Nothobranchius furzeri: one gene and its partner. The protein of the gene in region 1 purifies or fractionates together with the protein of each later gene. This does not show direct contact. Links are inferred from orthologs where the notes say so. Each region holds a gene or a part of one and is shown on either strand. Other genes may lie near its edges.

Evidence for each region.
Region 2: the proteins of clec16a (region 1) and rnf41 purify together in Homo sapiens (affinity purification with mass spectrometry; 3 studies listed by BioGRID and IntAct, with this or other methods). This does not show direct contact. The link is inferred for Nothobranchius furzeri from reciprocal best matches to the Homo sapiens genes CLEC16A and RNF41.

What each region holds. Positions count from the first base shown.
Region 1 is NC_091752.1:63,103,400-63,107,220, reverse strand, and holds part of clec16a (protein CLEC16A), read right to left. Parts: intron 803-3,821; coding exon 598-802; intron 43-597; coding exon 1-42. UniProt on the Homo sapiens protein: Regulator of mitophagy through the upstream regulation of the RNF41/NRDP1-PRKN pathway. Mitophagy is a selective form of autophagy necessary for mitochondrial quality control.
Region 2 is NC_091755.1:37,149,299-37,153,677, forward strand, and holds the start of rnf41 (E3 ubiquitin-protein ligase NRDP1), read right to left. Parts: upstream 3,029-4,379; 5' UTR 2,904-3,028; intron 2,185-2,903; 5' UTR 2,089-2,184; intron 98-2,088; 5' UTR 78-97; coding exon 1-77. Other genes in the region: uncharacterized protein, read left to right, coding at 3,922-4,379. UniProt on the Homo sapiens protein: Acts as E3 ubiquitin-protein ligase and regulates the degradation of target proteins. Polyubiquitinates MYD88. Negatively regulates MYD88-dependent production of pro-inflammatory cytokines.

The DNA of each region.
Region 1 (3,821 bases):
ACACCTCTGTAGCACCGGGCTGCACCGGCAGGTCCAACAGGGCTGAGTGTACAGGAAGTGGAGTGAAAACAGGTGAGGATAAACATCTGAGAAGGAGAAACTAAAACAGTGACTAGATTCTGACGGGAGTCACATCCTCCTAGATTTGCTGAACCAGTGAGACTAGATGCTCCCACTGCATCTCTAGGGAAATACATCTTGATGAGGGGAAGTTTAACCTCCTGAAGTCATCAGATTTGATAGAACTAAACTAATCTGCAAGAACTTTCTAAGTGGGTTACAAATACAGGAAAGACAACAGGGGAGGACAGTTCTTGATAAATGAAGTGAGTCACTTTCTGTATTAAGCAGAATTACTTGTTCCAGTTAAACGTGTCAAATTCAAGGAAATGACATCATGTTTCGTAAAACTCCGCTCTGATTGGTCAGTTCAATAAAAACTAAAATCTCTTTCCTATCTGCTGCGCCCATCCATCAGCTGAACGTTTCAGCGTCTACCCTCGTGTTTCCTGGTAAACCCACGCTTCACAGAAGCGTTCAGACAGGCCGTTTGTGCAGAGGGAGCTTACTGACAACGCCCTCATCGGCTTCCCTCACCTGCAATCCTCTGCATCTTCATGCGGCGGGCCTGAATGCGGCCTTTGGCCAGCCTCTGCTTGGCGATGATGCAGCGGATGTGGTCGGCGAAGATGAAGTTGGCCTGCAGAATGGGCAAAGGCTTGGCGTGAGGGTTGGAGCTGGGTTTGTGGATAATGATATTCAAAGCTCTGCTGTCGTCCTCCACACCGGACACCTGCATGTCCTTTAGAAAGAGAGAGAGAGAGACACACAGAGCAGTAGGTGGTGTCAGTAACGCTGACCCAGGGGTAGACTGACTGTTTATAGCACCACTAATGGTGCTAAAGAAAACACCCAAATTTTCTCTCATGGTCGCTTTCAATTAAAACGGAAAAGTTAAAGAATATAAAAGTAAAGACTGAACGATGGAATCAGGAGATGAATGGTAACCAACAGGAATGCGAAATAGCTGTGGGAAACTGGACTGGATCTAAGAAACATCTGAAAGATGATGAGAGGGATTAGTTAAATTAAACACAAAAAACCAACCTATAAAAAAATAAAACGGGACCCAGCTACACTTAAATATTTACATTATTGAAGCTACTAATCAGTCAGATGGAAATCTACTCCTTTATTTATTTAAAACTGCTGTTTCCAACGTTGCTGCTGTGGGTCAAGAAACACAGCGGGGTCACAGGGAATAACAATCTGTTTTAAAAATGATAAAATGGTAAATGATAAAGTCCCAAGTTTCCTTTTCCCCATTTTTTAAAGTGCAAGTCACCCCCAAGTCAATCATTTTTTGGCTGATAAACTATATAAACACGTGTAGACAAGTGTAGACAATAATTTGGCACTTTAGTGCATCTTAGTTAAAAGTAAAATTTGCTGCCTTATGGGCTCGATACACGGGAGGCGACAAACGACCGCGACCAGCAAAATTTGTTGCTGTCACTTTTATTACCCGACACACGGGAGGCGACCCGCGGCAGCGGCCAGTGACAAAGCCGTCTACGCGTTCGGTTCCATGGCGAAATCGAACCTTCCTTTGTTTTGATTGGCTGTGTCAGGTTGGAGGGAATTAAGGTTATTTAAGCGGTTTAGAGTTAAAAAAGCGGTAGATATGATGTTTCACAAGGTGCTGTTAGAGTTATGTGAAATCTTGCTTCTGATTTTACTATATATATATATATAAAAAAAAAATACCTGAGAATACGTTCATCCCATACTACAAACCAGAGAAAGAAATGGCGAATACCATCATTTCATGAGAGACTTCTAGGATTATCCTGATGTGTTAACTGTGGCACCAACAATTTCCCATGCTGTGGCCTTTTTGTGAATATCTCTATATTCTTTGGTAGAAATATTGTACAGTTCTGGGAAATCCGTCACAGCAAGTATCTTCTCCTCCATGTTTGCTCGGAGTTGTAAGGCGCATCCTGTCCGCTCACTGGTTATGGAATGAAACCTCCAATGATTGATCCTCGCCCGAGCGACAGCGATGAAAAGTTGAAAATATTTCAACTTTCATCTAAAACTTTCTAACTTTCATCTAAAAATGACAGAGTCTTCACTAGTACCATGCAGACGCACACCTATCTGGAATAATCCAGATTTTTGCAAAATAACAAAATGATGAAACTTCCGGATTGGAAAAATAAAGGAATCCTATACCTGGAACACATATATGAAGGATTGGACTTCATCCCATTTAACAGAATAGTCTCCCAATTTGGAGTTGATAATAATAGCTTTTCAGAATATCACCAAATTAAATCTGTAGTCAAACAAAAATTTCAGCTCAATAAAGTAGAATTACAAACACCACCAAGGGTTTTAGACTTCTATAATCTCAAACCCGTCAAACTACTGTCTAAAGTATATAAGACGATAAAATTGCAATCCCTATTGAAAAATGGGAGGTGGATCCATCAGTCAGCTTTGACCAGAACGTCTGGTCCCAAACTTGTTTAAAAACTTTTTAAATAATCAGAAACCCCAGTTCACAATTAATGCAGTACAAAATTCTGAACAGAGTACACTATACAAGCCATCGGATGTTCAGGATGGGGTTTGTGTCATCTGACACCTGTACACAGTGCACAAACAACATTCCTGACAATTACATCCAGGCACTGTGGTCCTGTCCACATGTCCAGGAATTTTTGGGTAGAGTATGTGAAGACATGTCAAAGTGTCTGAAATGTCATATCCCAACTTCCCCCCCTCTTGGTTTACTGGGAAACCTGGACGATGACCCAATTGAAACATCTTTGGTTCATGTGGTCCATATGCCATATGCATCGCTAAGAAAACTATCCTCTTGAATTGGAAAAATAGAGATACTCTTTGCATTAACCAGTATAGAAATCTTTTGTTAGATCATATTGCACTTGATACAGCCTCTGCCTCCACTTCAAGTGAATCTCTTTGGGCTCCTTTGATCGGTTCCATCACATAGCGATTATAGGAGGGTCACTGATATTTCAGGTCCTGACATGTCTGCTGCCGGGAAGAAGGCGGGAACATGCGGCAGAGCCTGGCCCGGGCTCAGGGACCTCGGGTAGACCTTGGCTCCTCTGCTGTCCATCACGGGGGAGGGGAATGTCCAGGAGGGGGAGGACCCAACTTTACCTGGATGTCCTATGTCATATATTCTGGAAGCTGTGCAAATGCAGGGATGGGAGTAGATATTCTGCTGGGGTGGGGCTGCGTTGGTTCCCTTGGACTCTGTGGAGCTATGCAATGCTGCTGCTTTGGGTCCTGGCAGGATGGGCTGGGGTCTCCATGCCCTGGGTGGCATTTTGGCAACGGAGGTGCCTACTGGAGCCAGTGGGGGAGCTAGCTCCCTGGACGGCTTAAGCCAACCAGCCATTCCTCCCCATCCCCACACATTTTTCTCCTCCTGCTCCCTCACATCATCACACAAACATGCACATAGGACTTTGAGGGGTGGACAAGTCAGGGGGTGCGGGTATGGACCCCATTTCTGCATTCCTGTGGCAACCTGCCCCCCCCCCCCCCCCCAATTTTATTTGCACATTAAACACTTCCACTAATGACATTCCATGCAAACACACACTTAGGGCCTTGGGAGTAAGCACATTCAACAACATTTGGCAAGGGGTTCTTTCAGCCTCATCCCAGGTGCCGGTGCCCACTTCCAATTTTAATCTGCACTTAGACACAGAGGGCTGTGGGGGGAAGAGGGGTGGTGTGGTGGCAGCTGGCGTAGGCCAGACGATGCCTGCACTGCC
Region 2 (4,379 bases), on another chromosome or scaffold:
TCAAGCACTCCACTACATATTGGACACAGCAGGTCTTCATCTACCTCACCCTGGAACCTCGTAACGTCGTACCCCATGGTACACAACCTACAACCTCCTGAACAACACAATTTAAAAAAGATTAAATATAAACCACCTACACATAGTAGGTATATTAGCTGTTTTAATGTAATTAAAAATTTCTTTGTCAACAAAATAATGTAAAGGAGGAATGTGATTGTCCCAAATCGTATTGTAATGGATGACCCAGATGCCTTTCAGAAAGCAGAAATGGAGATACTTGGCAATGCTTGTACTGCAACCTGATGAGCAAATGTTTCTATTATCACTCTAGCCATTTTTACAAAACAATGCCATTAATTTGCCGCAATGCCGTGGCAGCATCAGGGAGCCTTAGGTTGTTCATAAGTGGTCAGACTGTGGCGGTAATGTGGTGCAATCGTGTCCTTTTTATAAGATTAAGGCGGTGTGTATTGTAAAAGGGCTTCTGAGATGCTGAATTATTTAATCTCACCCCCCCCCCCCAAACCGAAAGTATTTTACACAGATTTCAACACAAGAAGGTGACATGTTTCATCATGTTGTTTATTATGAAGAGGAAGAAAATATCATTTCGATAGCGCTTCTCAAGATAAAAATCACGAGGCGCTTCACAAAAACAAAAAATGAAAAAATATAAAAAAGAATTTAGAAAATGGTTAAAAATATATTTTAAATGAGCAAAAAAAATGGGCAATTGTAATTAAAAAATGTTAAGAAAGAGAGAGAGTGAACAGGAAAGAGGGAAATCAGTGGATCCTGAGGAAGGTGGAATAGGTGGGGAGAGCAGAACAAAAAGAGAGAGGTGAAGAAGGTCATACAAAAGCCAGCTTGAACAGGTGAGTCTTCAGCTGCTTTTTAAAGGAGACCACTGAGTCCACTGATCTCAGGCTCAGGGGGAGAGAGTTCCAGAGTCTGGGGGCCACAGCAGCAAATGATCTGTCACCTTTGGTCTTTAGTCTGGTGCTGCACAACCAGTAGGCTTTGATCACCGGACCTCAGGGACCTGCTGGGGGTGTAGGGACTAAGAAGATCACCAATGTAAGATGGTGCTTGTCCATGTAAGGCCCTATAGACCAGAACCAGGATCTTGAAATGAACCCTGAAGTTGACTGGCAGCCAGTGAAGCTGGAGGAGAAGCGGAGTGATGTGGGTGTGTTTGGAGGACTTGGTCAGAAGCCGAGCACAGGCATTCCGAACCACCTGTAGACGGTTCAGGGAGGTTCTGCTCAGACACGTGAAAAGAGAGTTACAGTAGTCTAAGCATGAGGAGATGAAGGAGTGGAGAACTGTCTCAAGTTCAGAGCGGGACAGAATGGGACTCAGCTTAGCAACGTTCCTGAGATGGAAGAAGGAAGAGCAAACAAGAGAAATGACATGAGAATCCAGGGTGAGAGCTGGGTCAAAGGTCACGCCAAGATTCCTGACAGAAGGTTTGGTGTGGGAAGCAAGCTGACCAAGAGAGTCTCTGACTTTGGGAACCAGCTTGTCTGGGGCACAGATGAGGATCTCAGTCTTATCTTCATTCAGCTGAAGAAAGCTCCCAGCCATCCAGGTTTTGATAGAGTCTAAGCAGGTGTGTAACAGCTGCAGCTTAGACATCTCATGGGGCTTAAAGGAGATGTACAGTTGGATGTCATCTGCATAAAGATGGTAGGATATTCCTTTGAAGGAGCTCAGGATGTGCTGAAGAGGAAGCAGATAGAGGAGGAAGAGCAGAGAACCTTGTGGGACACCATGGGTAAGGGTGGTGGTGAAGGACCTAAACTTGGAGACGGCCATAGAAAAGGAGTGCTCAGAAAGATAATGTAATATAGTACAGTAACTAATTCTTTAGCTCACTGTTTGTATATATGTGTGTGTGGTTGTTTTTTTACATTTACATTTATACACTTGCTACGCTACTAAATACCAGTACTGTGAAACAAACCTGGCTAAAACTAAGATGAGAAGGGTTTTTTACACTATCTATGAATAATTACTATCAAAAAATGATTGACATTTTGTCAAAATAATAATTTACAGTTCTGGTTAGAACATCTTGTTTACCTCAAACACAAACTGCCTCAAATATTTCCATTCAGCTCCTCGATTCCTCACATCTGGCAGAAATGCTCTGCCTGCCTAAAAAGACACAGACCCTGCCTGAATAAAAAGGAAAAAATTATTGCATTTAAAAAAAAACTTTTAGTCTGATGATTGTAAACCACATATGCAAGAACATTAAATCCCATATCACGTATACACAATGTACTCAAATGAGTTTAACTAGCTGAAATCTGAGATTAAGTACTTTCTAAAAAAATTTACCATACCGACAGTTTTTTTGGAGGATAAAGAATTTGAACTTTAAATTGAGCGTAGCCATTTTCATACATATTCACATCCTCAGGCTGACTTTTCAACGTGATTTTACAATAAACATATTTATCTACTGTCCTGGTTAACAAATGAATGATTCCAAAAAATGAAAAGAAACAGCTTTGAGATCAACATGTTTCCATCATATTTCAGAGCAAGGAGCACAAAACTTAGCTGAGCATCGAGGTTTCTCAATGTTATCTTCACGCATATAATAACACTTTAAACTAAATCGTAAAAACTTGATTTTTAATAACGTAAACATGCGTCAAAGAGAAAAATATCTTAATGGTTTACAAAGTACAGCAGCACAGTTTGACTGTCACGATTTCTGAATATGTAACGTTAGCTAGCCCAGCTAGCGGCTACGCTGTCGTTGGTTTCCTTTGGACATTAGCTATAAGCTAACCAGACTGACCTCCGTTAGAGACAACTTCACACACCAATAGCTGTTTACAGTCAGCTGCACTGCTCAAGATATAACAGCTGACTGATATACTTACTCAGACATTGAGTAAAATAGATCCTTTTCACAATTCAGGCTGTTTTCAGACGTCGTACCAACACTAGCCCCTTGCTAATCACGTCTTGGTGCTACGTCATACAAGTCTACGTCTCAATCGACACGAGGGGAAACGTCATCACGCAAAACTGCAGAAATCCCAAAAGTGAATTTTATAATGAAAAATGTCTCTCTTACCGAAACAATGTTAATCACTAACACTGTCGAAAATGTCCTTATCCGGTTAAAACTTTCATAACGGACTGCTGTTTCTTTGTACATTCTTTTTTTAATTGTCTGTTTGTTAATCAGTTTTGGGTAAATAATTGTATAAACATTAATCCGGACTTCAAGTTATAATGGAGAAATGTGTTATTTGGGTTCCTCAGAAATGACATTGAGATTAAAAAAACACATTAATATTATAATAATGTAAGCTAAATGCCATGTTGAAAAGTTTGTTTGTTTTCAAGAGCTCAGACAATACATTTCCTCCATTATGATTTCATCCAATAAAAAAGCCTCAAATGGATCAATTTTGTGAAATAATTGTTAAGCATCAGTCTAATGTGCTCTGTTATGCTCTGTTATGTTATGCATCTGTGTAAATTTGTAAATAAGAATGTGTGTGTGTGTATATACATGTATGCTTTTATACTGAAAAGTACCTGTAGAGGAAGTTAAACTTTGACCTCGTAAATTGACCAATAAAAGGGAGCATTGGTGTTTTAGTGGCCGCAATCAGTGTGTGCTACCACCAGTGAAGGCCCGTGAAACAGACGCTCTGTTTATGGATTTATTTCCTCCTTTTTTTAATCCTGGAGATTCATTTTGGAGTCTTGGACCAACCGCTGGGTAAACGAAACTCTGCTAACAGGTTATGGGCCCAGCACGCTTCCGCTGCGCACCAAGCTAATCAGGACAGCTGGGAAAGCATCCTGCTAGCGTGTGAGGAGCACAGAACCGACCAACAGCAAGTCCGGTGAGTCGAGTGAGAGCTACGACGTGTGTCGGACACTATGAGTCGGAAGACAGTGGAAGCCAGTACCCGCTGGTCAAGACTGGTATTTGACGGAGACGAGGATAAATATGAACTGTGGGAAACAAAGTTTCTCGGACACCTCCGGCTACAAGGTTTGAAAGACATTATATTAAAACCGAAAGACGATGACGATGATGAGGAATATGATTCAAAGAACGCAGAGGCATATGCCGAACTTATACAATTCCTGGATGATAAGAGCCTTTCACTGGTGATGAGAGACGCAGCTGACGACGGGCGGAAAGCTCTAATTATCTTGAGAGAACACTATGCCGGGAAGGGAAAACCCCGCATAATAAGCTTATATACAGAACTGACTGCATTACAGCAGAAGAGCGGCGAGAGTGTAACGGATTATGTTTTGAGAGCCGAGGCCGCCATTACAGCGCTGAGAACCGCAGGTGAAACTTTGAGCGATGGACTGCTAATAGCAAT